4 linked regions of the Rhinolophus ferrumequinum genome follow. The protein of the gene in region 2 purifies or fractionates together with the protein of the main gene of each other region. This does not show direct contact. Links are inferred from orthologs where the notes say so. Each region holds a gene or a part of one and is shown on either strand. Other genes may lie near its edges.

What was found.
Region 1: the proteins of SLC30A4 (region 2) and METTL9 purify together in Homo sapiens (co-immunoprecipitation; 3 studies listed by BioGRID and IntAct, with this or other methods). This does not show direct contact. The link is inferred for Rhinolophus ferrumequinum from reciprocal best matches to the Homo sapiens genes SLC30A4 and METTL9.
Region 3: the proteins of SLC30A4 (region 2) and FUT8 purify together in Homo sapiens (co-immunoprecipitation; 3 studies listed by BioGRID and IntAct, with this or other methods). This does not show direct contact. The link is inferred for Rhinolophus ferrumequinum from reciprocal best matches to the Homo sapiens genes SLC30A4 and FUT8.
Region 4: the proteins of SLC30A4 (region 2) and PDS5A purify together in Homo sapiens (affinity purification with mass spectrometry; 3 studies listed by BioGRID and IntAct, counting the BioPlex papers as one, with this or other methods). This does not show direct contact. The link is inferred for Rhinolophus ferrumequinum from reciprocal best matches to the Homo sapiens genes SLC30A4 and PDS5A.

Annotation. Positions count from the first base shown.
Region 1 is NW_022680357.1:16,855,683-16,863,172, forward strand, and holds the start of METTL9 (protein-L-histidine N-pros-methyltransferase), read left to right. Parts: upstream 1-4,481; 5' UTR 4,482-4,644; coding exon 4,645-4,809; intron 4,810-7,490. UniProt on the Homo sapiens protein: Protein-histidine N-methyltransferase that specifically catalyzes 1-methylhistidine (pros-methylhistidine) methylation of target proteins.
Region 2 is NC_046289.1:60,994,949-61,002,860, reverse strand, and holds the start of SLC30A4 (probable proton-coupled zinc antiporter SLC30A4), read right to left. Parts: upstream 3,020-7,912; 5' UTR 2,798-3,019; intron 2,667-2,797; 5' UTR 2,553-2,666; coding exon 2,162-2,552; intron 1-2,161. UniProt on the Homo sapiens protein: Probable proton-coupled zinc ion antiporter mediating zinc import from cytoplasm potentially into the endocytic compartment. Controls zinc deposition in milk.
Region 3 is NC_046289.1:30,711,402-30,718,233, forward strand, and holds the start of FUT8 (alpha-(1,6)-fucosyltransferase), read right to left. Parts: upstream 3,019-6,832; 5' UTR 1,689-3,018; intron 871-1,688; exon of another isoform or gene 456-870; intron 1-455. UniProt on the Homo sapiens protein: Catalyzes the addition of fucose in alpha 1-6 linkage to the first GlcNAc residue, next to the peptide chains in N-glycans.
Region 4 is NC_046288.1:14,335,589-14,343,357, reverse strand, and holds the start of PDS5A (sister chromatid cohesion protein PDS5 homolog A), read right to left. Parts: upstream 3,002-7,769; 5' UTR 2,861-3,001; intron 2,770-2,860; exon of another isoform or gene 2,639-2,769; intron 1,993-2,638; 5' UTR 1,953-1,992; coding exon 1,812-1,952; intron 1-1,811. UniProt on the Homo sapiens protein: Probable regulator of sister chromatid cohesion in mitosis which may stabilize cohesin complex association with chromatin. May couple sister chromatid cohesion during mitosis to DNA replication.

The sequences.
Region 1 (7,490 bases), on a different chromosome or scaffold from region 2:
ACAACGGAAGCACACAGGTGGCTGGTTTTAAAGTAAAGAAACTGAGGCCCAGGGTGGGGGTTTCCATGGGAAGAGCAAGTTTGCTGAAGACACTGCATACGACTCTTGTTTGACTCGAGTTGTACCACCATCGGTTAGATGGAATTAAAAGATTTCTGACCCCTCAACCTTGAGATCATGAAGAAACTGATTTGTTTGCTGGAGTCGGGGATCTAGTTGAGTGTTAGGCTGCAGGACTTTCCTTAGTGGAATTTGTCTTGTGGGACGTGAAGTTTAAAGTGGACGCTGGCCCTGAGCTCGGGGACGACTTCAGCAGCTTGTGCAAAGAGAACAGACACGTTTCCTCTGAGCCTTGTGGTTCCATCGTAACAACCACGCCCGCTGTTTGAAAGCAGCCTGGGGAGGGGTCACTGCAGTCCAGAGGAACTTGGGCAACTCGGAAGCTCTCCAGCTTAGCACGATGTCAAAACGAGGGCCACAAAGCCACACGTCCTCGGGGCAGCCTTTCCTGACCCAGTTAGGTCAGCTCGCTCTGCTCTAAGTTCTCCTAACTGTATACAGTTCCTAGCACTTAGCAGTTGTAATTGTGTGTTCATTTTGTGATTGCTTGGACGGGTCTGCCTCCCTACTAGACAGCGGGTGTGAAGGTGACACATTGTGTTGATTACGCTTTCCATTCTATTTAGTCCAGCAGCTGGTGTATGGCACGGGACTCAATAAATATTTATTGACTGTGTGAATGTGGTATTTCTTTGTCTTTCTGATGTTATTCCTGACATAAACTGAAACAGGTATGACATTGCCATGGGAGGGAGAGCGCGGGGGTCAGAAGCTTTCAAGCGGGTGCAATTCTGTGGCTGGCACAGATGCAGACAAATGGGCCATCTGGGGAGAGTTCTGGTTACCTCCAGAAAGACAGGCACCCCTGACAAGGAGGTGGCTTGAGTTTGCTGCCGGATTTTGTGACTTTAGGTTTGAAAGTTTCATTGTTTTGTTTTAGGTTCCCTTCCCCCACAACCATCCTCACTCCCTCGGTTCCAACTTTCAGGAAGGGGTCTGGGAACCGACCCGTCATGAGGAGCTGTTATCACTGGCCTCTATGGGGATGTTTCATGGAACAGCAGCTTTGCAGAGCTCACTGTCACATTAGAACTGAGTCTCCCTATTGCGATAACCTTGGTTGATGTTTCTACAGTTGAGGAAGCTTTCAGATCATCTGTGTCTCAGAGACACAATGTGAAGTAGTCCGCTCAGAACCATGGCCCTCAGTGTATAGCTGAGGAAAGGGAGGTTCAGAAGACGTCGATTTACCCAAGTTACAGTACAAACAAGAACAAGTGAACGTTTTTTTGGAGAGCTTACTCTGTGTTGGGGCCCTCTGTATTTAGAACATATCATTTAATCCTCTACACATCCCCACAAGATAGGTAACCATTATTATCACTCCCATTTTACAGATGGGGAGACTGAGACCTAGAAGTCATTTGCCACAAATTGCTTAAGCAGGAGGCGTAGAGCCAGGCTTCAAACCCAGGTTGTCTGTCTCAGGAGCACAGAGGATGAACCACTAGGTATTCCCACTTCTTGTTCAATTTTGCTGCTTTATTTTGCCATTTTTTAAAAACCTGTTTGCAGTTCCACCTTAGCTTAGAATGTATCAGTCAGAGACCATTGTGATGTCTTTGCATGATTGAAATTATATCAACGAAGTCCAGTTAAAAATCCCCTACATTTACTAATTTTAAAAACGTATTGAATACATTTACTAATTTTATTTTGTTGATGTGGCCTGTCCATTGGAGGGCACCTCCATTGAATATATTGAGGAAAGTTTGTACCTTTCTCTGACACTCTACAAAACATTGTTAAGAAGTATTAAAACATGCAAGTCCATGAAAACAGGTGATTATATGAGTTCTTTTTAGACTAGTATCTCTTCAGGGAGATGACAAATGACCAATAGTGACCGGCACACTTTGTGCCCTCTACAGAACCAAGTCGCTCTCCCAAGTGGGTTCTCTATACACTAGACTTTGTAATCAAAAACATGAAAATGCCGTAATTTGTAGTCGATAAGAACAGTCACAGCAAAAGTGCCCTTTCTTGAAATCTAGGTAGGTAAGTGATCCGACAAGATTTTGGGCCTATGCACAGAGCTGTGACCCAAGCTGGACACCCAAGCTCCTGGTCAGTAGGGCAGTGAACAGAAAACTCAGCAGAGAGAATGGTAGTTACGTTGTCTTTTGAATGTCACTGCCTACATTTCAAAGCCACATTAGAAAGGATATTGACTCATATTTGTGTGTGTGTGTGTGTGTGTGTGTGTGTGATCTGTGCCTCTTCCCCTGTCCGTGATGGATAATTGAGGTTTTAATATACAGTAGTGACATTCTAGTAGATGAAGGAAAGGGGCAGTCCCGGAGGGCAATCTGAACTTCTGCTTAGTATATTTACTCTTGCTGTTTTTCCTTCCTCCTCATTTGTAATTCAGGAGGCTCTCTGAGAAGAGAAGGACAGCGAGGCTTCTCAGATGGATCGAAGGACCATGAGCTGGGATACCGGTTTCTTTGAAAAGGTCTGCTATTGAATTTGCTCTGCTACTTTTAGGCAAATCATTTGGTCACGCTGTGCTTTGGTTTCTTCCTGTGCTTGCTGGGTGTAAATAACATGTGTTGGAGTATTTTGTGATTATTATAGAGTATGATAATATGGAAATGATTTATTCTTCCAGGAGCGCTGCTCAGGTGAGAAGTGAAAATCTGCTCTTTTTGAGATGCTGGGCTCCTTGGCAGTCACCTGACCCTGTCCTTCAGACTCCAGAGCCATCTAGTTGCTTCTTGCTCATCTGACACAATTTGCAGACTCTGAGCTGCAGCTCATCAGGCTTAGAGTGGGGGGCATTACCTTTTGTTTTCAGAAACGAAATATGTCATTTTATATGCTCTTGCTGCTTTCACCCCTGTCTAAAAGATGAAGGGTTTCTTTTGGCACAGAGCTGCTTTATCTGTGACACTGATCCCAAGAGACAGGAGGGAGAGGAGACATGGTAAACAAACTGAGGTATTTGGACGTCCTACCATAGATCCTTTTTGATGATTTGGGCCAGGATCACGAGAGGTTTGAATTAGATTTAGTAAGGTGCAAGCTCTTTGGGGTTTTGGCAGGAAGCAGTCCCAGAGTATAGTGGAAGAGAACGCAAAGTACCCTCCCCCTTTCTTAATAGCCTACGTAGCATTAGGCAACAGGATGTCTCTGTTAGCGATAGATAGGTGCCAAGCTGAGATTCTCTGAATCTAATAAAAACGTCTGTGGGTAAGGAATGATTTTGTTCCGCATCAGTGGATGTATAAATGACAGCCTCTGAAATGCAACGTTGGCGTTAACAGGTTTCTTTTGAACTAAGATAAAATGTATATACAGTATTTCTAGAGCAGTTAAATCCAAAGCATTCTCTAAGCAAATCGAGGAAGGTGTTCAACTTCGAGAACCCATGAAACATGTTACTCCTTGGTTGCAGCTTGGGTAGCAGCAGGAAGAACTTCAGACACAGGAACACAGTGTAACCCTTCAGGTTTGGAATGTTGCTACTAGGTCTCCCCGAGCTATAAATGATTAAAGACACATCCGGGTAAATACCAGCTCTTAGTTGGCTTTAAGAGTGTCGTGCCCAACTTCCGCCTGTTCGTTCCAGGAAACAAGCAGCCAGGGACTCCAGTTTGGGGTCTTCCTTCATTCTTGGACAGGGTCATCAGGACGTCAAAGCATGACCTACAGGTGCGCCAGCTGCAGTAGCTTCCAACAAAGGCAGAGCTTTCACTGAGGCCTCTTAGAAACCAGTCGCCTGCAACTGGCCTGGCTTGGGGAACGGGACGCGGTGGTCTGCCCTCCGCCCCCAGATGCCTGCCTGCAAAGCAGGCTGGAGGCCCCCGGGGTGAGGGTCTGGCTTGTTGGCTCTGAACGTAAATAGGAAGCCACGCAGCTAAGCCAGGAACGGCGACGAGCGGGCAGCGTCCGTCTCCCGCAAGGACTCAGTCTGATTGTCTGGTCCTAGGAAAGGAATGCGCCGCCGCCGCCTCTGCCCCGGACCAATGGGCACAGCAGGGTTCAAGTCCGGCCGGGGTTGGGATGAGCGGCCCAGAGCCGATCACTAAGGCGAGCCAACCCCAGAATTCCCGCGGCCACCACGGTGGAGGGACCGGGAGGCTCCAATTACCGCCTTCGGAAGGGAGCCTAAAAAAATTACCATCATCGCCGCCATTACGCGGAGCTCGGGGCCGAGGAGAGGCTGGGCCGCGCGCGCCAGGCGAATGCGCGCTCCCTCGGCCCCGCCTCCCGGCCGGCCCGACCCGCTGATTGGGTGGAGGGGAGCGCGCCCCGGCGAGAACGCGCCCCACCGCCGCTCGTACGTGCTCCGGGTGGAAACCCGCGCCGCCGCTGGCGGCGTTCCGCGGGCGGAAAGGAAGGGGGAGGCGGGAAGGCCGCGCGCCGCCCGCCCCTCCCCACCCCCGCCTCGGCCCTGCAGGGGCTGGATGGGCAAGTTGGGCGCGATGGCTCGGGCCCGGGTGGCGGCGGCCGGAGGCGGCGGCGTCTCCCGCTCCTCGCCGCGGCGCCGGCGGTGATCGGAGCGAGCGGCCGCGGTCCCTGATGAGACTGCTGGCGGGCTGGCTGTGCCTGAGCCTGGCGTCCGTGTGGCTGGCGCGGAGGATGTGGACGCTGCGGAGCCCGCTCACGCGCTCCCTGTACGTGAACATGACGAGCGGCCCCGGCGGGCCGGCGGCCGCCGCGGGCGGCAGGAAGGAGAACCACCAGGTACGGAGCGGGCCGCGGGCGGGGGCGGGGGCGTGGCGGCCGGGCCTTCCCTCGCGCGGCCGCCGGCGTGGGGGCGGCGGGCCGCGGCGCCTCGCGAAGTTTCCCGGGCCGGGCGCTCGGCCCGGGCCCCGCGGCGCCTTTTGTTCCCGGCGCGGCGGCCGCGGCCTCCCGTGTCCCCGGCGCGGGCCGGAGCGTGGGCGCCCCGGAGCCCGCATTGTTCCCGCGTCCCAGGCGGTGGCTGCAGACGTGCGGCCCCCTCGGGGCCCGGGGACCGTGGGGGCCCGTGGGCGCGCGGCGGGCGCCGGGCCTCGGGGAGCACCGCCCAGGCCCAGCCCGTCGCCCCGCGCACGCCCCGTGCCCCCGCGAGGCCGGCCCCGCTTTTTGTCTGGAGCAGTCCGCGGTCGTACAAAGGGTCATAAAGGAACGTGGCCGTGCACCGCCCGCCGCCGCTCAGCGCCCCGGGCTCCTTCAGGTGACATGTCCCCGCCGCCCTTAGAACAGGCGTTTGACAGGTCGTCGCTCGCGTCCCACCCGGCCCGGGACCTCGGCTTCCAACTTGGATGTTGGTGCCCGACCCGAAAGGGGTGGTGAGAAGGGAGGGAGGTGATGGGCGCCAGCTCGGAACTGGCAGGGTTTTCACACCGGAACTGGGCAGGAAGGAAATGTTTCAAGAGTTGCAGTTGATGCGATGGGACCGGCTGGGTCGTCTTTTTTTTTTTTTTTTTTCTTTTTTTTTTTTTTTTTTTTTTTTTTATTAGCTTGGTTTTGTGCCGTTTAAAGAAGTACGTGCAGGTCAGCTGTGGAATGAAGAGTGAGAGGTGTCCTGTTTGACCACCAGGTAGTTTGCAGCTCACACGTGACATGCGTTGAAAAGACACGCTGTTGAAGTCTATAGTGTTGGCTTATAGTAGCATTTACAGTACATTTTGCCTTTCCATTTATTCCCCATTTTGTGTCTCATCGTTTTCGTAGACTTCTCGTTTTCTCCTGTGTGGCTTTTCTTGTTATGCTGGGGGTTCAGAGACTTTACACCCACGTTGTCTTTGTGTGTGTGTGTGTGTGTGTGTGTGTGTGTGTGTGTGTTTAAATGAAAGGAAGGAATTATCCAAGGGGCGGAAAGCAATTCATTCAGGAAAGTAGCATTTAGTTTTCAGTTAGCAAATATTTATAATGGCCCGTTTTCTGTTTGTAAAGGAAATCATAAATTTCCATGATTTTTTTTTTTTTTTTGGTAGTCCCACAGCTGTGGCAATTCCTATGATATTGTTAGGTGATTTTAAGTTGCGAAACCACGTTCTTTGCTATGGATTAATTACTTACATTAGTCTTTTTAGGTAAACAGCTCTACTGTAGTGATGACGAACAGTTACCAAAATGTCATATATCCGTATGAAACATGGGTAATGGTGTAAAACAGTGAATTAAAAATGTCACTTTCAGCAGTTGGTTGAAATAAGGTCCCGGATAGGATAAAAACAAGGCTGATTTCCACTGATGTGGAATTATGGTTGAAGGTTTTAGCTGTTGGTGTTTATTCTAACACTTGTGACCACCTCTACTGCAACAGACTGGATATGTTTCGTTGCTCATAAAATGGGACGAATGTTAAAAATCAAAAAACCGTTTCCTTTGATTTTTATGGAACCTAGGTGGAACTATAGCTATAGATGTAGCCTCAGAATATCTCCTTGTAACAAAGGCTACTTTCTAATGTTGTACCTTTTAAAGCTGCATCATCTGTCAGGTTCTAAGGAAAACTGGTGCTGGTTTTGGATACCTCATTTACTTCATTATGCTTTGGAGATACTCAGGAGTGTGTGTCTGTGTTTTAACCAGTGGCACTAACAATTTGGCACCTAATTTCTCCAAGGTGGAAGAGTAAACCGGTGTTTTCTGAATATTGAGAAGGAGAATAGATCTTTTCCTTAGAATGATCATTCCCGACTTTATTTCGAGATGATACATTCACATTATGAAAATGTTGTTCACAAACAAAGCTTAAAATGAACAAAAGAAATATGTATGCAAACCACAGTGAGGTTAAATGAAACAGGAGACTGTCTTCTCTGCTTTATGTTCCAGGATCCTGGATTTGCTTTATAAACTTGGTTGCTTGTGAAGTAACTCAACTCTAATGGTTCTCCCCCCTTCAAATTAATAGTTTTATACAAGGTCTTCTGGTGTTCATTTGGGTATGTGAGTTCCATAGCCAGCCACATCTGGTTCTTTTGGAGTTGCATGAAAGTAAGGTTATGGATTTGATTGAACCATACTTAGCACAAGCTTTCCTTATGGTTATTTTATTAAGAAATTATGATGGAGGATTCTATGGTTAAAAGAATCCTCCAGCACTTGGGCAATGTTTCTTCATTAACAATTGCTATTTAGTTACTGTAGCCCAGAGATGCAAGGCTTCTTTGAGCTAAAGCAGCTCTGAAACTATAGTAGCAGCACCACTGCAATAACTCGGTTTGGTATGCTAGCTTCAAAACTGAGATTATGTTTCACTTGGGGCAAGCCGAGAAGCAGGGAAGGGGGGGGCGGGGTTGGCTTGCAGGCCAAATTGGATCACTGACTTTTTTGCACAACCTGTGAAGTAAGCTATATTTTTAAATGGTTACAAAAAATAGGATGTTTTGTAACACGGGAAAGTTTCTTATGTGAAATTCAAATTTCAGTGT
Region 2 (7,912 bases):
AACTTGTGCGGTGTATGTATACATGTTATTCTATATGGTCAACTAATTTTCCTAGCACCATTCATGAATAAGCTTTTATAACATAATACAGAATATTCAAACTTTTATGTGTATCAGGATGATCTGGAAGGTTTGTTAAACTACAGATTGCCTGAATCCACTCTTAGAATTTCTAATTAAGTAGGTTTGGATGGGGCCTGAGAGTTTATATTTCTAACATGTTCCCAGGTGATTCTGATACTTCTGGTCTTGGAAGCACACTTTGAGAATCACTGTTAGAATGTATAGTGGAACTTCATGATCAGGGTGTTGTGAAACATTAAGTGTGACGAACTGCGATCTCCCTATTTCTGGGATGGGTGTGCAGAGCCAAAAATAGCAGGAGAACTGAGGCTGGTGATCTTGTAGTCACATCCATTTACTCTGGTGTGCTCTATACAAATATCATTTTTTATGTATTCCCTGACGTGAAAAAGCTAGAAATGACTGACAGACAATACAGTTTGGTGGTTATGAACATGAGGCTTTGAAATCTCACAGACTCTGAGCAAGTTACTTAACATTTTTGAGCCTCAGTTTATTTATCTATAAAGTGAGAACACCTTTCAGCCACACTGTTCAATAGACCTTTCTGGGGTGAAGGAAATGCTCACATGTGGCTGTTGAGCATTTAAAATATGGCTAGTGCAACTGAGGAACTGAATTGCTTTTATTTAATTTTAATTAACCTAAATTTACAGAGTCACATGTTGGTGATCATCAGCAAAAATAGCAGAGTAAGGACCTCTGCAAATCATCTCCTCCATAAAAGCAATATGAACATGGGCAAAAATTGTCCCAATCAATTTTTCAGAACTCTGGAAATTAACCAAAGGCTGTTACAAGTAGCATTTATTCAAGGAAAATGGATGAATCTTGGTAAGAACAGTGAGCTCTGTGGCATTTTAACTTGACTTATACCTAACTCCCCTCTCCAGCTTTTCAGTAGCCTTGAAACCAACAAGCAGCAATCACAGTGAAAATCTCAGCCTGGAAGCCCCTGTAAGGGTTAGAATGGGGCTGGAGCTCCTTAAAAGCCCCATTCTTAAAGAACTGTCATTATCTGACCTGTCTGGTGGTTCCCTGGAAGACCATTACATGCCAGGCTGTTTTGAAAGCCACTGAGGTAGAGGGACCAGCCAGTATGAAGGCTTTATGGGCAAGAAAGAGCTTTGTGAATCGTAGAGAGAAAGGCAGCCAGCCTGGCTGAAGTGAGTACTGGGAGGAGTGGTATGAAATGAGGTAGGAAATATATACAATTTTCCTACATTTAACCTCCAACCAGCACCTTAAATCTGGACTGCCACCTCTGTTCTCATCATGGTTCATCATTAAGAGACAACATACATGGGAGAATGCTCTCCCTACTTTAATGTCACTTTGTAAACAGTCACTGAGAAGTTAGCAGTCACAGTAATGTGACTGTGAAATTAATTTCTAAACAAAGAATGTATTTTATAGTGAGAATGTATTACTTAACACAATTTAAAAAATGAAAAATAAAACCAAGTTCATAAACCCTGGGGGAGCCATTTTCTGCTTCCTTTCAGTTCCTCCCTATAAAGAAAAGCTTTCAGGTTAGTTGGTAGTATTTAATTTTGCAAATCTCTTGGATATAAATCCAAAAGAAAATACTATAAAGAGACCACTTTAGTAAAATGTAGAGGGAAAAAAAATCAGGCAGCTGGGACTGCAGATGCGGCTCTTCCATTACTACCTAATTTCCTCACAACTGAACCTCTCTGGGCCCTCACATTCCTTATGAGAAAAAGAAGGTGGAGCAGGTGTTCAGCAAGGTCCCTTCATATTGTAAAAATGTATGATTCTAAGTAATTTTAGCATCATTTGCTATTTTAAACATTGCAAAAATTAACCTGGTGTTTTATCAGAATTTTTTTTTTAAAAAAGAGGAAGTTACATGATATACAATGAAGATATTATACAATAAGTTTGTGTTGTGCTCAGGTTGATCTGCACTTTGGAACTGTGGCCTTTTCACATCACAAGAGATCAGTATCTTAATAAATAACGAGCTTCCTGAAAAAGAAAGTTTAAACCTCAAATCACGTGTAACTAAAGCTTGACAAATGGAAATGTCAAGTGAGTTGGCAACACAACTCACCTACAAGTTCTCCAATCATGAAAAGCAAGTACAGAACGGCAGCAATGGTCAATCTGGTTTTCACCTTTCTCTGCTTCAGCAACTCTCTCCGTTTGTTGCAGTTGTCACAGGGGTCCACCTTCAAACTCAGCTGACTGTTGCTCAAAGGTAAGTCCTGATCCAGTAAGGAATCATCATCGGCCTGAAGGGCCGGGTGCGCCCCGTTAATAGGCCTTTCCGGGGTTTCGGAACCATCATCCGCCACCACAACTCGAAGTTTGTTAAACCGAGAAAGCCCTTCGTCCCCCACCTCGTCCGAGAAGTCAAAGGCGCTGGTGTCATTTAAAAACAGCGGCGCATCATCTTTCCTCAGCAGAGATTTCAGACGCTTCCACGCGCTGGATCCGGCCATCGCAGAGGCCGTGCGGCCGCGGCGCGGAACGGCTCGGTGCTGGCGGACGGCTGGCAGCTCCTACTTCACCGGAGCGCCAGTTCTCGATGGCACTGCCGCGCGTTCCTCCCCATCCTGTGGAAAACGGAACACGTTATAAATTAAAGGCGCCCCATCAGAGCTCACAAGTTCCGAAGCCCAGGGCGGCAGGGGACACAGGGCCGGCTCCAAGGCGCCGGGGCTCCGCGAAGGGGCGGCGCGTCTACCTGGGGCGCTGCCGCGGAGCCGCCGTTCATCTCCCCGCCCTCGGCCGGCTTGGTAAGGCCGGCTCGCACAGCTCGGCCCGGAGCCGCGGGAGAGCGGGGCCGATCTCTCGCCTGCAGCGCCCGCAGCTCCAGGCCGGCTCCGCGGGTCTGACAGGTTCGGAGCCCGGCGCCCGTGACCGCCGCCTCCCGCTGCCCTGAGCGAGGCCGCGCGCGTGCGCCGCAGCAGCCGCAGGCGAAGCGCGCGAGAGAGGGGTCGACGCGGGGATACGCAGGCCCTAGCGCAGGGCTGGGGCGCCCGCGAGGGCGGGGCAGGGGCGCACTCCGCGTACCCCAGCCGGGCGCTGCTGGTCCTTGTCTGCCCGAGGGACACTCGCTGGCGAAGCCCCAGTCTCCGGCCGGACCCTTCCCACTCTCCTTGTTGTGAGACAGATGGAACTGGGGTCCGCAGGGTCAGTGGGTAGAATCGAACGGTCCCGCCCAGGACTGAGCGTTGTGGCCGGGAGGTCGCTCCACCCAAGGAGGGCCTTGGGAAAATCTCGGTCAGATCTTGGTTACGGAGGCTCGGCAGAAAACCAATTTAGCGCTCTCTAGTTGCTGCCTCTCTGGCAAGTTCGCAAAATTTGCTGCACAGTCAGGCCAACTTGGAGAGGGGCAAGGCTTATGGTCGTAAGCAGTTGTGTTTTAATATATATTTAATATTGTTTTTCAGCAAATTATGTGGTGTTCTCTGTGTGCTTACTCCTCGTTCCTTTTGCCTCCAAGTATTCACGACATGGACTAAACCCAAGCACAGAAAATCTAGTAAAAGTTATTTGTTCTGGCCTTTGGTTCTGTTTAACTGAACACATAATTCAAAATCATTAAGTTCTAAGTAGTAGCTTCTAATTTAGACCTAAATTTTAATGGCAAAATGAATCACAATCACTACCCCATCCCTAGTGATTCCCTGGGTGGGTTTTAGAGGATTTAGGAGGCCTTAAACTTATGTGCAAAATTTTGTGAGTATATGTATTTTCTTCAGTAAGTTTCTTAACCATCATATTCTCAAATGGGGTTAAGACTCAAATAAGATTTAAAACAACAGCAACAACACAACACTTACCAGGAGAAATCTTATAGATGAAGCCCCTAACTTCTACGTGGAGCTGAATTGTAGTGCACACTCCTATTTATCCAGTGTCGATAAATGTTTTTTGACAACAGTTGACACGGACTACCAAATTTCAAGTTAACAAGAAGTACAATAAAAAGTCACATGAAACATCATTTTCCTCCAAAGATTCCGATGACACTTAGAATCTTACATGCCTCAGGTGCAAGAACTTTTGGACTCAAGGAGGGTCCCTCACTTTTGACTGCCCACAATATTCCTACAGAGCTGCAGCCGTGGGAGTCAGGTTAGGATATCTGGATCAGAGATCCCATGGTTCCCAAGACCCAGAATATTCAATAATCAGGGCACAGAGGTCGTTATCAGAAGAATGGAGAGAGCTTACTGAAGGTTGCTTGCCTAACCCCAAATATCTTAATCCACCCAGTTTGGGAATAGATTATTTGTTTGGTTTTTATTTGTTTATTATACTGCCTGACATTCTAATGAGAGAGACAAATGAATAAAGCAAATATTTCAGGAGTGTGATAGCTATCTCTTTAGTAGAAATTCTTCAACTGAGATTCCATTTAAGGAAATGGGATAGATGTTTTCAAGAAAAGTTGAGGCCAGAGCATGAATTTTTTTTTTTTTTTGAGTATTTACAGTAAACTTTGTTGGGAAGGATTGCAGTTCTGCATCCCAATTTATTTTAACTATTTTGTATCACTGGGTACCTGAAGAAATGTTGGGAGGACAACAAAAACTATGGTGATTTTAACATATGTCCAAAAATTCTGTGATATGCTTCCTATCAAGAGGTGGAGCTTAATTCCTCCTCTAATTGAGTGTGGGCTGCTCTTAATGAATAGCTTGTGGCCCATAATGAATAGAATCTGGCATAAGTGACAGTGTATGACTTACAAGACTAGGTCATAAAAGGCATTGCAGCTGCCTTCTTGTTCTCGCTCTAGGATCACTTGTACTGGGGGAAGCCAGAGCTACCAGGTCATGAGGAAAGCCCAAGTGATGAAGAACTGAGGCCTCCTGTCAACAGCCATGTGAGTGAGCCGTATTGGAAGTGGATCCTCCAGCCCTCGTGAAGCCTTCCCATTACAGCAGCCTTGGCCATGTTCACTGAAACCTCATGAGAGATCCTGGGCAGAAACACCCAGGTAAGCCACTTCCAGATGACCCAGAGAGACTGTGAGATAATAAATGTGCATTATTTTAATATGGTAAGTTTTGGGGTAATTTATTACCCAGCAGTAAATAACTAATACACTCTATATCAACTTTCCTTTGTATCAGGAAACACACTTTTCTTATTCTTTAATCATATAGGCTCTTGTTCATAGGTCTGCCCTTGGGTTAGTGGCATGATTTCTATCATTGAGCTTTAAAATGTGCTAAATAAAAAGACTTCTGTGAATAGTCTTGGAATGTAACCACTATTTGCAACCTTGACAAAGGAACTTTTGAAACATAATCCATTTATAATCTGGGTACTGCCTGTTGTTCTGCTAGCTATTGCTCAGTATACCATTCTTTTATAAGATACTTCATATTTCTTTCAGCATGAAGAGCTTTTTTGCATGGGAAAATGAAAAAGTTGCCAACCATTTGGCCCATCGCTTAACCAGGTAACTCATAATACACAGATTGTTTAGGTAATAGCAGAGGCCTGTCAGTTCAATTGCAAGACACAGAACATACCATGGGGCAATTAACTGCAGTAGATGCAAAATATCCTATGTTAAAATCTGTTTTCTGGCCCAGACATCTCTTGGAAGAAATGACAATGCTAAAAATAATATTACAGCCAACATTTACTTAAGGCTTGTTTATGTGCCAGGCACTATGCAAGGGACCTAACTTATATTAGCTCATTTAATTCTTAGAACATCACTATGAAGAACGTAGTGATTCAAAGCATGGGTCTTGCAATCATACTGTATTTGAATCCTGGCTTTACCATTAACAGTCATATAATCTTTGGTAAATGATTTAACCTCTTTGTGCTTCAGTTTTCTTGTGAAATCCCTCTTGGAGATGAAAAAAAAAGTGGAAAAGTTGTTTGTTTGTTTTTAAATTGAAATATGGGAAAAGGTGCCGCTTAGTTGTCAGGTTCAAATGCTGCATATTCCCCATCCTGAGAACTCTCTCTATTGGAGTCTGTAGGTTCTCATAGGATGTTTTTGGAATGTGTTCTTTTATCTTTTCCAGGACGGATGAAAGCTATTGGATGCATATGAACAAGGGCTACTGATGTGATACACAACTATGGTGAGTGTAATCATTTCTTCCGTCTATGGATAACGCTAGTAACAGAGTGGCTGGAGATTCAGTTTAACCCCTCCTCCAGAGGAGAAGAAGAAGGACCCGAAATAGATAAGAGAATTATGCCAGGACAGGCAAATTACCTCTTGGACAGGGAGGAGATAAAGGAAAGAATCTCTGGCCAAAAGTCCATCTTTCCTGTCAGGCAAACCTGTGAGCCGAAACCTACTCAATCAAATTCATTGTTTTCATACTTTGTTTTTGTCTTACCTTAGTTTTAAAAGTAAACATTCCTATGGATTCCTCTAACCATGTCTGGCTGAAAGGAGAAGAAATGAGAGATTCCAGCTGGGACAGGGGTTTAAGGACTGAGCACACCAGCCCTGGAGTCTGGAGAGGGTAGCTGGGCTGGGAGAACTTAAAGATAAGGGTGGAAGCCTGACTTTGGAAATGCTTCGTTGTAGATAAGAGCACCACCTGAGAACTTGGAGAACTTGGTTCAGCTGCTAATTTTGCCATCCATTCACTGCAATCCCTAGCAGTGTACTATTGCTGAGCTCATTTTCTTGTCCATAAAAGTAGAAAATAATATTTGCCCTACCTATTTCATAGGGACACTATAAGAATCCAATGAAATTTTTGTATGTGAAAGAAAGCATTCCCTTACCTACTTTTCTAGAGAGAGCTATTAAAGACCATGCTATCTGTACCAAACTGCAAAACAAGGGACCTGGAAAATGCTGGTCATCAAGATTCCTCCACTTGTATCTATCCCTTCTTAGGATTGCTAAACTCCAGTCCTTGGTTTATTAATGACATGCTCTGACTTATTTAGATCTCTTGATCATTGCCACACACATTACTGTTATGACTACTTCATTTCTATCCTAAGCTGTTTTTGTGTCCATAGCACCTAACATCATACTCATACCAGGAGTCCTGTAAGTCCGCATGGATTAAATAAGAAAATATCTTTATCATAGAGAGTTAATCCATAATTTTAAATTTTCCACTAACAAACTTTTTTATTTCTTTAAGCTGGTGTGTAAGGTCATTTCTAAGAAATTCCTTATGGTGAGATCATTCTGTCTCATGATGATTGGAGTTTATTAATACACTAATAGTTTATATTTATACCAGACTTATTTCAAAGAATATTATAACACTTACGAATTAAGCCAAGACAGAGAAGCTACTGCAGACAAAGTGACTCTTTTGTGGCCTCTAACAACTGGTAGCTTTAAACAATGAAGGCTATTGTGTAAGAACGCCCTCCTGGGGTTATTGTGAGGTTTAATTAGATTAAAATCTACAGTGTTTTGAGTTTTTCCTCAGAATCCCTTAATAAATAAAGATGACATTAATTTTTTTAAAGTATCTTTATATTGGTCCCCTCAGAACCAAATGTAACAAGTTCACCTCCTGTTTAACTCCCTATTTTCCCTGAAGCAAAAAAACTCAAGACTAGGCCAACCTAAATTACCTTTAATGGCTTTAAACTGACTACAGAGCACACATGACTGACTACAACTTAGTATCCTAATCACAAAGATCTTAGTGTATGATTTACAGGACACAATAATGCCGCATAATCACTATGCCACATGGTAATTAGATATAAATTACTGTAATTATTACAGCTGGCTTTTTACTGACCAAAGTTTTACTTGCTTTTGTTATTTATATTTGAATAACTCACATTCTGCTCATTTGCAAATAGGGTTTAAAGCAGTAGTTCTTTAGTA
Region 3 (6,832 bases), about 30 Mb from region 2:
TCCTTCTCCCCATAGCCAGTGACTATAGGGACCGAGTTGCTGGCGAAAGGGCAGGTAGACATGGAGAAGAGAAGAGGGACACCTCCCACCCCGCCCCCATCCCTTCTCTCCTCGGCTTCGGCCCCTGCCCTAAGCAAGGATGCGAGACGCCGAGGGCAGCAGCAGCGACGCCGCCGCTCCGCGTCCAGGTCCGGACGGCGGGCGCCCCTCACCCCCAAGCCCGCGCCCTCCGGTCCGCTCAAAGGCACCCGCCAGAGCGTCCCAGGGGCTCCCTCCCCACTTTTCCCGGAGCCGCTGGATAAGCAGCAGCAGTTGCAGCAACAGGCCTGTGGATCGCCTGGGGGAAAAGAGCAGCGATAGCCTCCAGTCACATCCCCAGAGCCTCATCAGATCCCGCGCTTCCCCAGCCACAGACTCCGAGGCTCGCGGGGCCCGGCCCCCAAACGCCCCCTTACCCGAGGCGGGAGAAGAGGCGGTCTCCGCCGTTCCCCAGTCGCCGCCGCCACAGCCCTCAGCCGCAGCTGCTCAACGTTGGGGCAGCGGGAGGGGTGGCTGGGTGGAGGATGCTACTCCCGACTGAAGGGAGAGGAAGAAACGGAAACAGGAACCACCGCCGCCGCCGCTTAACGGAGCCTTCGGCGCCAGTGACTGAGGGAGAGCGCGAGGCGGCGCGAGCCCGGCAGTCGCTGACAGCGCGAGACCGAGCGCGAGCCGGGTCCCGGGCGCGCGACCCCGAGCAGCGCCGGCCCCATTCCGCGAGAAGAGGAAGGGGACCGGTTGGCTGGGGGCTGGGAGGGGGCGGCGGGGGGCGGGGGCCTGCAGCGGAGGGAACCCCGCCACTCCGGTCGACCGAAGATAACGCGCGCACGCGCCGGAGCGGCTGACAACCAGCGCAGGCGGGGAAGCCCCGGCTAGCGCAAGCGTGCGCGCGCGAATGGGGGCGCGCGCCCCTCAGCGTTCCAGGCTTCTGGGAGAGGGCGCGCATGCGCCGGCCGCTGCCACCTACGGCGACCCTGGCATGTGCTAGGGCTTCACCCCGCCCCCTTCTCGTTGCGCCCTTGGTTAGCGTAGCCGCAGCATCCACAGCCAGGCAGATCCGCGGGCCACAGCGGGACCAGGAGACTTCCAGCAGGGCAGCAGTTGCGCGCACAGGCGCCGGCTGCAACACGAGCGTACGCCGCCCTCTACCGCCAGAAGGCCGGAGGCTGAGGGGGGCGCGAGCGTAGCCGGACTCCCCATTCCCGGAGCGCCACCTCCAGGGAATGCCGTATTCTCCACCGCCAGGAATGGACCGGCCTATGCCAGTTTAGCCCGCAGCCCTAAGGAGCACTGGTACTGGAGGAGATTGAAAGGCGGTTCTTTGCTGTTTATTAGGGGTGACTGCTGCTGCTCAGTCGCTGCAGGCAGGTCTGGCCGCTCGTCTGCAGTTTGCAACACGGACTGATGCCATAGAATGACATCGCACCCACAATGCGACTAACGAAGTCGCACCCACTTTATCTTATGAGAGCTGTTTTCACGTTCGCCCGGACAGAAAGGTCTCCCACGAGGGCCTGAGTTCGATGCCTGGCCTCTCCCCCGACCCGCGACTGGCGGCTGCGACAGCCTCTCTGAAGCGGAAGTTTATTCAGTATGGGAAAGAGAACACGGGACGGGGTAGGGGAGCTTTTCCTTAGGATGCTTCCTACCCGCTCGGACTCGGGAAATTCCTGGCGCCCGCGATGCAGAGCAGTGAGCCGCAGAACTAACCCACACCAGCCCAGATCGCGAGCTGAGACGCAGGACCGGAGCGCGCTGCCCCCGCACACAAAGTAGTCGCCGGCTAAGGGGTGCCATGATGGCCAATCAGGGACGCGAATTGCGTGAGTGGAGTGCGAGCAGACCAATCAGAGGGCGAGAGGATGAGCTTCCCGTACCGAACTCTTCCCTGTGCGTCCGGACCCAGATCCCAAGCCTAGGGCGCAGTGCCGTGGAAAAGCGAAATGGTGACCTAAGGACAAAAGTTATCCCTCTAGACTTGGTTATTTTTAAGTAAATGCCTTGGGTACTTATCCTAGAGCAAATAGTGCGGACTTTTAGATGCTGAATGTGAAAAGAATCACAGAAAAGATATTTAAGAGACAGTGGCCTGCCAAGACTGCAATCTGCCTAATAACATTCATAAATTTACATACAGTATGTATTGAAACCATCCTATAGGCCAGGAACTGTATTACAAATATAATACTGTTGAATCAAAGAAGAAATTTCCCTGTCCCTCAAGGAGCTCAGCTTCTGAGGGAGATTTGCTGAACCTTGTGGCTCGTATTTATTGGCAGCCCTTTAAACAAAAAGCTCTTCACGAAGTAGTTTACAATCATTTTTATGATTATCGCCCTGTGAAAAGGGGAAATTAAGAGAAAAGTACAATGACTTATCTAAGGTTACACAAAAAATATACTGGCAGAGCCAGAATTATGTTCCAAGTCAGAGAGCTTTGTCATCAATCAACCATCATTTATTGAATACATGGTTGCTATCCTCCACTAAAGACGTTTCTGCACTAAGCTTATAAACAGAAGAAAATTCTGTTATAAGGGCCACAGGCTTTGGTTGTTGGAAACAAATTTTAGGCTTATGCCATAGAAAGATGGGTTAAAGGCCAAAGTCTTATTAGTCATTTTGTAGATAATTTTTAGAAGTCAGATATGAGGTGGATATTTACTTTTTAGTTGAAACAGCATTTAAAAAAAATCTTAGCAAACATGTTTAACTTCAAAGCTTACCTTGTATACTTCAAGATCCCAAATTCAAAGCTTTACTCTTGCCTCAAAACATCCTGTTTTTTTGTCTGGTCTTCATTTTTCCATTCCAGAAACCTAGAGATTAAAATATTTATCTTCCCTGCCTCCTGCTCAAAAAGGAAAAAAAAAATCTGTCCAAGGAATGTTTGTCTAAGATTTGTCCAATGCATTTTCATAGTACAGTATAAAATATTATTAAAATACCAAATAACTGGTGTCTCTAGCATATACTCAGAAACTAGGTCTTCGGCAATTCCAACTGCACTCTGTTGAGTCAGTGCGTTTCTCAGCCTGTGACAACACTGTTATCAAGGTCCTTTCCAAGATATGCCCAGGATTTAGCTGCCACCTCAGAACTGGAAGTATCAGTTAAAACAACTAACTTTTGAGAACAAATCTTTATACATTAAGTTCCAGGCCAATTATCAATTTACAGAAAATTCACAAGTCTCAGCTTTTAAAAAACACATTTCTTTTATTCTTTCCAGAGAGGAATATTACTGAAACTGCCTTTCTCTTGCCAGGTTAAATTTCTGAGTGAGAAAGTATCCCCACAAGGTTCTACACATCACTGGCCACCAGAAAACATCTCTGTCAAAGAATGTTTTCTCCACAAGCTCCAGCCTCCCTCTCTGCTGCTGGGCCTTCTCACTCTCTCTTCTCACCCCAGCTGCCTGACTCTGCCTCGCATCACTCCTAGTTTCAGGTATTTGCTTAAGAAAGTAGAAGTGTTCCACCACTTCCTCCACCCCTCCCTCATTAACTAGGCTTTAGTCCTATCTGTGCTTATGCAAAAACTTGAAGATAAGTTCTGCTCAACAAAACACTGTACAGAATATTTTTCATGACATTTTATACTGTGAACTAATAGAATCTTGTCAATACATCATATTTTACACAGCCTGGGTCAAATTCTTAGTCTTCAACCAGAACTGTGGGGTCTTGCGGGTGGGGCAAGGAGAAGTCAACCATTAGACAATGGAAAAATATCAAAATGAAAGTTAAGTGAGTACCTGAGTAGCCATTTTATTGAGATTAGCTGATCGAATTAAAGAACTTGAATACTATCACATTTCAAAAGTTGTGAACATTCTTGTAGGAACTAGTTTGAAATTTACTACAATTTTATTAAAGACTATAATAAAAATAATAGCCAGTGTGTAATACTGCTGAATGCCAGGCCCCATGATAAACTCTTGGCCTCCATCATTTATTCTCAAATCAACCTTTCAAGGTAGACCTTGTAATTACCATGGGGAGATCTGTGGGGTCCCAGAGAAGGGTTGAGGAGGCTCTCAGATGTTTCAGCAGCAGCTACTTACCAAATAGTTTAGAAATTTTTCCATCTCCCCCAATGTGGACCAACCAGATGTCAGCCCTGGAAACATTCCTAATAATTTTTAATAATTTTTTTATTGTTCTTGTTTTCTAATTGTTGCTCCAGCTACATTTTTTTTAAAGTTTATTGGGGTGACAATTGTTAGTAAAGTTACATAGATTTCAGGTATACAATTCTGTATTACATCATCTGTATATCGCATTGTGTGTTCACCACCCAGAGTCAGTTCTCTTTTCATCACCATATAGTTGGTCCCCTTTACCTTCATCTACCACCCTCCTACCCCCTTACCCTCTGGTAACACTAAACTGTTGTCTGTGTCTATGAGTTTTTGTTTCTCATTTGTTTGTCTTGTTCTTTTGTTGTTTTCGGTTTATATACCATATATCAGTGAAATCATATGGTTCTCTACTTTAAGATCCATCCATGTTGTCAAAAATGGTCCTATTTCATTTTTTCATACTGCCGAATATTATTTCATTGTGTTTATATACCAAACTTCTTTATCCATTCATCTATCAAAGGACATTTTTGTTTTTTCCAGTCTTGGCCACCGTAAATAAAGCTGCAGTGAACATTGGAGCACGCTTGTCTTTATGGATAAATGTTTTCAGATTTTTTGGGTAGATACCCAGGAGAGGGATTGCTGGGTCATATGGTAATTTTTTGAGGAACCTCCACACTCCCTTCCATAGCGGCTGCACCAATCTGCATTCCCACCAACAGTGTATGAGGGTTCCTTTTTCTCCACAGCCCCTCCAACACTTATGAGTGAGGTGATATCTCGTTGTGGGTTTTATTTGCATTTCTCTGATGATTAATGATGTTGAGCATTTTTTCATATGTTTATTTGCCATTTGTATGTCCTCTTTGGAGAAATGTCTCTTCAGGTCCTCTGCCCATTTTTCAGTTGGGTTGTTTATTTTTTTTAGTTGTTGAGTTGTATGAGTTCCTTCCAGCTACATTTCTTAAAGGATTCCATTTTGCAGTAAATCATCCAAAGGACAGCACCGTTGTTGCTATATGCAAGAAGGTATGACCTTGTGGTAATCATTTTACACATTTGGTCCTTAATTTCCTCACCTATAAAATAAAGGATTGTACTACATAAATTTTAGTTGTTTGCCAGTTCTAAACTATAACTCTAGCCAGCTTGACAGTAACTACAACAATGAAATATGGAGAAACAGTCTATGTCTTCAAATTCAATAAATGTTTTAAGTCACCTTTGAGCCAACTCCTTAAATAGAAACTATACACCCACTCATTAAAGAGCCAGAGCCAATCTTTCCAATCAGAAGAATCAATGAAGTGATTGACTTAAAGACTGATAAAACTTACCAAACTATCCCTCCCTATGACTTGCCTCCATGGCTGTAATTTCCTTCTTCTCCTTTGGGATAAAGTACCATATAGTTCACACTGTTAATTTCTTTTTCAACATCCACTTCTGCATCTTCTTTATTAATAGAGTTGCTTGTTTTGTTTTTGTTTGTTTTTTTTAGGTAACCATCCAACCTCCATCTACAAAAGGGCAACTCAGCCTGAGTCAATCAGTAAATGAATTCCCTGGTATGGTAGAGATTTGTAATGCTTGCCCTGTCTTTCCAGGCATGTACAGAGATTACATTTTCAAGCATACATCCCTGCCACCCACCCCTACCCTTGAAGTTGGCTGGACCATGTAACTAATTGTAACCACTAGTCTATAGTGGGTTGTGGGTAGAAGTCAGTATGTGTCACTTCCAGGTAAAACATTTAATTGCAAGTATAAGTTCTTAGAGTTTTTATTCTTCTCCAGCCTCAAGGCCAGTATTATTGAAAATGATAAAAACCTTTGTCAACCTAGGTCCCCAAGAAAGGACAGTATAGAACAGCCCACCTCCAACCCTCATCAAGTCAGGATGGATATATAGTTTGAGTGAAAAAATACACCTTTGTTGTTTAAGCCACTAAGATTTGGAGTTTTTTGTTTTTTGGGTTTTTGTTTGTTTGTTTGTTTGTTACTGCAGTGTGACCTAGAATTTAAGTTATGCTAGATCCTAGACTATTCTAATTAATACACCTGAAAACCATTATAGTCCTGGGTAAATGCCCAATCAGACTAAAGGGAAGGATTTTTAGTCCATGCTTAGGGAAGAGGATTCTCTTTCCTACCAGGTATGAACAAGTCAGCTATATTGCCACTGGTAGAAAGCTAATGACCACAAGAGGAACTAACCTCAGAATGAAGTCAACACACTGAGGACGGCAAACAGCTAAGAACCCTTGAGGATCTTATTGAGCTGATGGTTATATCACCTGAAGGCTACTCCTCTCTGAACTTGAAATTCTGCAAAATAATAATTCTGTTTGCTCGTTTCTCCATAACACAGTAAGCAGAAACTATACCTTATATATCTTTAATTTCATCATAGTTCCTAACATAGATCTAGCTCAAAGAGCACTAAAAAATATTAGGTGAGTTAGAATTTTAAAAATATAATGGCTCACCATCTTGCCTTCAGAAATAAAATATTACCTGCATTAACAAGGGGAAAAAGTAATTTGATTCAACCCAATCTTTTTTACAGATGAAGAGATTAAGAACCAGACACAGTACAAGATTTATCAAGTTCATATAGCTTTGCTATGGCAGAACTGAGAGGGAAAAAAAAAAACCTAATAATTGCCTCATCAAAAATGACCATAGTTTCCAACTCAACATAGG
Region 4 (7,769 bases), on a different chromosome or scaffold from region 2:
AGGCAAAATCTTAAGAATTCTTGAGAATAGCAAAATTTTAACAGCAGGACATTTAAATTGGTTAATATATATGACAATGTCAACTTACAAAAGAACTCATACCAAATGGATATTCTAACCCAATGCTCATTCTAGACTTGGTTCTATGTCCATTTATGGTTGACAGCATTTCTGATATTTAATCTACTTTCAAGTGGAAAATGTATATATAGTTGCAACTTTTTTTAAACCAGCTTATCCATCACTAGAATTCAAGGTTTCAATATCTTTAATATGATAACAATAAAAAAGATCCATAAATTTTTTTCTTAACAGTTTTTAATTTCATAATTTTTCAGCATCTCAAAACACTCAATATAACCTTAAGAAGCATCAATTAAGCACCTCACTTCATGTAAAATCTTTGGTATCAAGATTTCAATGAAAAGTTTTGTCCTATTCCTTCCAAAGAGGCAATAAATAAATAGATCTTAAACTACAAGAATATTTTAAATATTCACAAGCACTCACGACACTGTAAACATTTACTAGGCACACTATACTAAGCTCTAAGAGCAAAGGGGCAACATCATTCCCTAAAACTACATTTTCACCAAGTTGCTCAAGGTAGAAACACTGTCAACATTGTTTCTTCCCTCACCTCCCACCAAGTCTGATTCTAACTCTGAATTGTCTCTTAGATCATCCTCTATCACTTTACTCCCACAATCATTGACCTACCTCAAGATTTCAGCATCTTTCCCCTAGACTATTATTAACAGTTCCTAGCTGGACTCGCTGCTTCCAGCCTTTCCCTTCTCCAACCTAGCCCCAACTGTGACAGCGAAATGTCTTCAGCACTGGGAAATATCCTTTGGGGGTCAAAGATGCCCCGGTTGAGGAGCACTGTATCAAGTTAATCCCTTACTAAGAATGCATTTCTTTCTTTTTTTTTTAAACTTTTATTTTAAGTGTGTTTTTCCAGGACCCATCAGCTCCAAGTCAAGTAGTTGTTTCAATCCAGTTGTGGAGGGCACAGCTCACAGTGGCCCTTGTGGATATCCAACCTGCAACCTTGTTAAAAGCACGTGCTCTAACCAACTGAGCTAACTGGCTGCACCCAAGAATGCATTTATTTTTTTTTTAAGGCTGTGGCCACAAAAAATTGACCAACATAATGCTGAAATTTACAACCTTGACCTAATAAACTAAATAAGCTGACTCCTTATAAAAAGAGCCATCATACTCTCTTTTAAAACCCTTTGGAACATATGGACCTAAAACATCATCTTACTTTAAGCCTGAATTTTGAAGTCAGTACCTTCTATCAAAGTCTAACCATACTTAGACACATTTAAGTTTCTGGATATTAGAAAATTGTGACAATTTAAAGACTACCTTTTGGGCTTAAATCAAGTCTCCTCAGATGATGAAAACAGGACTTCCTAGGCAAATTATTACCTACATTTAAGGTTGCAAGCTACTTTGAACATAAATATTTTCATAAATATTTCTACAAAAAAACTTTAAAAGTTGAATTCTTGAAAAACAGTAAGATTAAAACACACACACACACACACACACACACACACACACCCTTCTAATTTCCCATAATGATTATGTCCCCACAGAACTTATTATTCAAAGATACAGCCGAGACAGAATACTTTTCAGAGAGGGTAAAAGAGAAGGCGATAAAATATCTAAAAAAAAAAAAAAGGCCTGGTAGGATTAAATTCTAAAGGCCAGGCCTCGCAGTGGAGTAATACCACAGGAGACAGCACCTCTTACCACACCCGTCTGAAGTGTGGACATTCTGTCCAGACGCTTACCTTCAGTCGTTTGATCATTTCGTCGGTGGTGATCTTGTCGGTGATCTCCTTTACCCCCGGAGGGTAAGCAATCTTCCCGTCTGCACTCACGACGCCACAGAGGGCAGTTGCAGGCTTGGGCTGCGCGGTGGAGAAGTCCATCCTGGGGGACAACTTTTCTTTCACAGTCCTCTACCGGCCTCTATCGGTCAGAAAACAAAAGTTCAGCGGGAAAGGGGCGACTTTGTAACCTCTTTTTTCATTTCAAAAAATCTCTAATCTGCAAAGGGCCTTTTCTCCCGGAAGGCCGGGGATTCGGCGGCGGCCCCGCCACCCGCTCCTTCCCGGGGTATGGACCCTAGCGGCTTCCCCTACACACGCGGGCCCGGCTAGTCCCGGGCCCACGGGGCTTTCTGGCACCAGGCGCTGCGGCCGCGGGAAGCGCAGAGCAGCGCCAGGAGTTTCCCATTCCGCCTTTCACAATGAAATCCACCCCCAAGCACCGAGGTCCGAAGTTTGGAGGCCTGGGGAGTCCGGCGAGACCCACAAGCCCCCCGCTCCGTCAGAGAGAAGCCCCGAGTCTCCGCCGGGCCGGTCCCCTCAGGGAAAAGAGACACGAGGCCTATAGTGCTCGGCTTAGGCCGCAAAACTAGCGATCAGACCGGACCCACACGCACCGGCGGCTCCCGAGAACGAACGCCCTTGCCGGGCCGAGCTTCGGGACCCCGGGCGTCCCCGCCACGCTCCCGCCCCTCCCCTGTCCCGCTCCCCCACCCCTACGGGAGGGGAAAACAAGCCACCCTCCACCCTAAACCCCACGCCAGGAAGCGGCTGACGCGGCTCCGCACTTCACATTTTGTTCCTTCAACTTCGGCTAAGGGACCCCAGCGGCTTCTCTCGCCCCCGGCGACTCGGTGCCGTCCCGCGCCGCCGAGGCCTTACCGGCACCTCCGGGCAGCCCTGCCGAGCTTCGGTCCCGCGCCCCCCCCCCCCGCCTCCGATCTCCCCTTCCGTCCCCTCCCTCCACCAGCCGAGGGCGGGAGCCGAGCTGCCGCCGCCACCGCCTTTACCTCCTCCTCCTCATGCGGACAGAAGGTGCATCGAACGCCCGGGCCTCTGTCAGGTGGTTGCGCCGCCGCCCCTCGTCGGGCTGCACACAAAGCGGCTCCGCCGGTCCCGCCGCCGCCGCCGCCGCCCGCCCCGGAGCGGCGCTGGGGCTGGCGGTGCCGAGGAGGAGCAGCCGCCGCGGGGGGAGACGCGGGGCTAGTGTGTGCTGGGCGGGGAGACACTGCCGCTCTCCGTCTGGCTGAGGAAGAGCAGCCTCGGCGGAGGCTCCTCCGGGAGCGTGTGCGCTCGAGTCCCCCCGGGTCCCCGCGGCCCGCCTCCTCGCACCTCGCGCCGGCCGGGTCCGCCGACCCGGACCCGGACGCCCCTAGCAGCGGCGCGCGCCCCGCCGTCCGTGCCCCAGGGAGCCGACGCCTCGCGTACCCACCGGCCGGTCACGCGAGCGGTGCGAGAGCACGCGAGAGCAGGGCGCGCGCCTCGCTCCCGCCCCTTCCTCCGCCGGCCGTGCCTCCGCCTCCCTCGGGCCCGAGGCTGCCGCGCGTGGGGCAGACAGCGCCGCCACCCGGTTGGCGCCAAGACCTGCCGCGCCGAGCGCTACGGGGAGGACGAGACCCAAAAGGCGAGCAGAGGCGGCGGGAAGCGAACCCGGTCCCGGAGGCCCTGTGAGGGTACTCAGGATACTGTACCTTAAGCCGCGGAAATGAGTTCATGACTTTTGGGAGTTATCCTGAAGGACGTGGACGGAACTGGTTGAAAGATGGTTAATTACTCGGTGAAAATGGACTGATTTCCTCCCTAGGGACAGAAGATCTGCAGACGGAGGAAAAGTTTTGCGACATGGCACAACGTGGGCCGCTTATTCTTGTTCTTTCTGACAGCCACCGGAGTTAGCCCTTTCCTCTTTAGATTTCTAGAATGAATATTTTGAAAGCTGCAAAATACAAAAATAGCAGAGTCGAGTGGTTCTCAAAGAATGGTCTGAAAAGTAAGTTCCTGGGCTCCATCCACTCCCAAACCGTGGGACCCAGAAATAAGAATGTTTACAAATTAGCTAGATGGTTCGTGTGAATATGGAAGAACTCATTTTAAAAAGAAGTATTTTAGATATACCGAAGAATAACTTTTTCCTTCATCTAGAGGAAAACCCAATGTAGTGGGTTTGAGCAGTTTAATGTAAAAAGTTGAACAAGTGAACCTCAGAAGCACATTGGTGCTTCAGAAGACGAACTTAAAAAAAACAACAACCCACAATAGTATGAAATAGCATTCAGCTCTTGAAACTGACTACTATCACAAGTTTAAAATGATATGCGATTATTCATTTAAATTATTCTTGATGGGTATCCCTTGGTCTTTTCCACATCCTTTCCTTAATCTTAAAAATATTAGAGGTACTGCACTCATGAATTGTTTTTCAGGTATTACACAAGGGAGATTCCAATCGCTTGGAATCTAACGTGCCACAGTTGCTGATTTACTAGAACTCTGCCTGAAAGTCTGTGCTTTGTTCTTGGGCAGTTAGAGTAGCAGGCAGAATCCATTCAAGAGTGGCTCTTTAGGCTCTCCCTCTCGCAGTGTTTTTTTATCTGTCACATTTAAATACCTAAAGAGTGATTGATGCTTTTCATTTTCATTCTTTCTCTAAGTAATTTTACCCATTATTAAATGGAATTTTGTATATGCCCATAAATTTTAATTTTATTTATTATTTTGTTAATATTGTTTGACTTTATGAACTCAAAAGATAGTAAGCCCTAGGGATTACAACACATAAACTTATATATTCTATAATTCAGGAATTCTAAAATTCCTGTTTTTACTTCCTTTCTTAAACATTTCTTTCCACTTACAGTAAATGAGATACAATCATTTGTGCATCAATTATTTTAAGAGGACCAACAATTATTTTAAGGCATTGTTTTGGTCACCGAGAAAAAAAATTGGTAGTGGGGAAGGGGACAAAATTCCTGCCTGCCTTGTTGGAGCTTAATTTGGGGGGGAGAGAAAAACAAACAAACAAACAAACAAATAAATAAATTGTTATAGAGGAAAATAGAGAAGAAGGGTGATGCAGATCCAATATAGCCTTTTGGACCTTTGTCCTTTGGTTTGTACTCTGACTGAAATGGGGAATTATTGGAGTGTTTTAAACAGAGAAGTGACGTGGTATGATTTATGTTCTATGAACGAGCAACCTTGCACAAATTACTTCATTTTTCTATGTAAAACAGGGATACTCATTTTCATCTGTAAAACAGGGATAATAGTTTTTTATTTCAGAGGGTCATTATGAGGAATAAATAAGTGAACATTTGTAAATTGCTTAGAATAGTAACTGGCACATACTGAGCTCTACTAATTTATATATATATATATATATATATATATATATATATATATATATATATATATATATATATATAATGAAAGAATCACTCTAGCTGCTGGGTTGAAAATAATGTAGAAATGCAAGTGTAGAAGTAAGGTAACTAAGCATAGACAACTGCAAAAATCCCAAGGAGAGATAGTAATAAGAACAAGGTAATAACTAACAGTGGAGGTGATGAAAACGATTTAAGAAAAAGAGTAGAGTCAAGAAATTAAAGAGGACTCCAGAGTTTTAGACCTTAGTAACTAGGATAAAGTAACTATTAATATAACATTAACTAAGGGGAGCACTTCGAGTATGCTTGGAGCAGATTTAGGGTCAGGATGTCTTTTAGACATCTAAGCTATTTAAAAGTCAATTTAAACGGTTACTGAACTGCTGCAGTGGGTAAATGCATTGTACTATGGTAGGCACGGGGGAAATATTTAAAAAGCAAAGAAGACAAAGTCCCTGCCATTAACAGGATCAGAATCTATTAGAGGAATCAGAGACACAATGAACGATAATTCGAGGCAAGGCTGTGATATATTCTATAATAGAGCTTTGAACTACATGGTCTATGAGCCTAGGAAAGGAGTGCTATGGTAGCTTTCCAAAGAGGAGCATTTGAAGCTGGGCCTTGAATGGTGAGTAATCGTGGTGAGCATTTGAGGAGCATTTGAGGCTGGGCCTTGAATGGTGAGTAATCGTGGTGAGTAGTTGTGAGAGGGCAATAGCTAATAGAGATAAGCACAAGGTGGAAAATGGCACAAGGAAAAGAATAAAACACAAAGGGGCGGGGATGGAGGTAATTAAGTGTAATTTTCGGGCAGGGTAGGGTGGTATAGTTAGAACAAATTGAAGAAAAGAGTAGCTTCGTGAGTCTTATTCTACCCCACATAATTTCAGTCAGCACCCCTCCCAATATACACAAATACAAGCATACAGTCTACATACAAAATGACATCTAATGCACCTTTAGGATAAATCCTTATACCCCTATATCAACCATACTACTAACCACAAATTCTGTAGAGAAATTCTAGATCCAAACTCTAAGGCAGTTCTGTCCAATAGAAATTTCTGCAACAGTAGAAATGTTCCATACCTGCATTGTTCAATACAGTAGCCGCTAGCCACATTTTAATTAATTTAATTTTGAAATCTAAACAGCCACATCTGGCTAGTGACTACTGTATTGGACAATGCAGTTCTAGAGTATAGTTTGTAGGAGTGATTGAGAGAAGTTGAGGGTAGAAGACAAACTGTGTTCATACTGAATGCTGTAGCTATTTAGCACAGCGATATTTTAAAAGGATGAATTGGAGTAATACAAAACTAAAGTCATTTATAGTGAAAGTGAACTAAGACAAAAATATAACCAAATTATAAAATTGCAAAAATATTTAAAGCAGTTTTTAAAAATGTGTTTATTCTATTTATCTGAAATTACTTGATTTTCAATTTGAAATGTAATTTGCTAAATCTATCCCGAATAATTTTACAAATTATAAATATGAATCATCCATGTATCTCCGTCACAGATAAATTTTAACAATATGTCATAATCACTATGAAACTAAAAAAATGGTACTTTATTTTAGTGTCTTTTCAGATACCACCGACAGCTTAGATTTGTTAAATATATTTAGGCATAGGATAATAGCATATCTATCTGTAGTGAATGAAATGAGTTTGACATGTTTCACAGCTGTCTGAATCATTTTGGTCTAGTATGACCAAGACGTTAGGATTAACTTGTTTGTCATAGTAATTTAAAGATTTTATTTGAATTTTGTCTAATATCTTAGTCTCCATGAACATCTTCAATTTAAAGTGTGAAGTGTGACCCACCTCATTAGCTGTATTAGCTTTCTTTGAGTTGTTTCATCAAAATTGAGTATTATTTAACAAGCAGGGACCGCAAACCACAACGCAATATTTTCAAATATGAAAGAAACTACAGGTACAAGCAACATGGGTAAACCTTAGTGACATAATGTGATAACCTGTTTACAAAATCCAAAAGCAAGACTCCGGGCAGTGATTACCCCTGGAGTACAGGGGAAGCAGGCAACATAGGGGAACAAGATGAGAGAATAAGTGCAAAGGTAGATACATTCTTATTAAATCTTTATTGTTAGGCAGAGTGGTGGTTCACATGTGTTCTTTGTATTAATTATATTAATGAACATATGAATGAATGAATGAATGAATGAATGAGGGCAATCCACGGACCAATGAGGGATGTGTTTATAACCCAAGAATTATGATTAATCCAATTCAGGGTACCTGAGGTCCAGAAGAGAAAAAAAAATAGACAAACTGAAGAAATTTTTAAAAAATTTATATTATAATATAAAATTTTTTGAAATTATATCCCCCAAAGTCAAAGAAGTTCTGCCCCATGATAATTTTTTTCCTAATAGTGGTAGTAAATTGAGAGATTATTTGGAGTTACATTTTATACAGATGCCATTTTGCAGCCCTTCATTAAGTTGCTAGTCCTAGGACGATAAATGATTATATGACTGAAAGAATTTTCA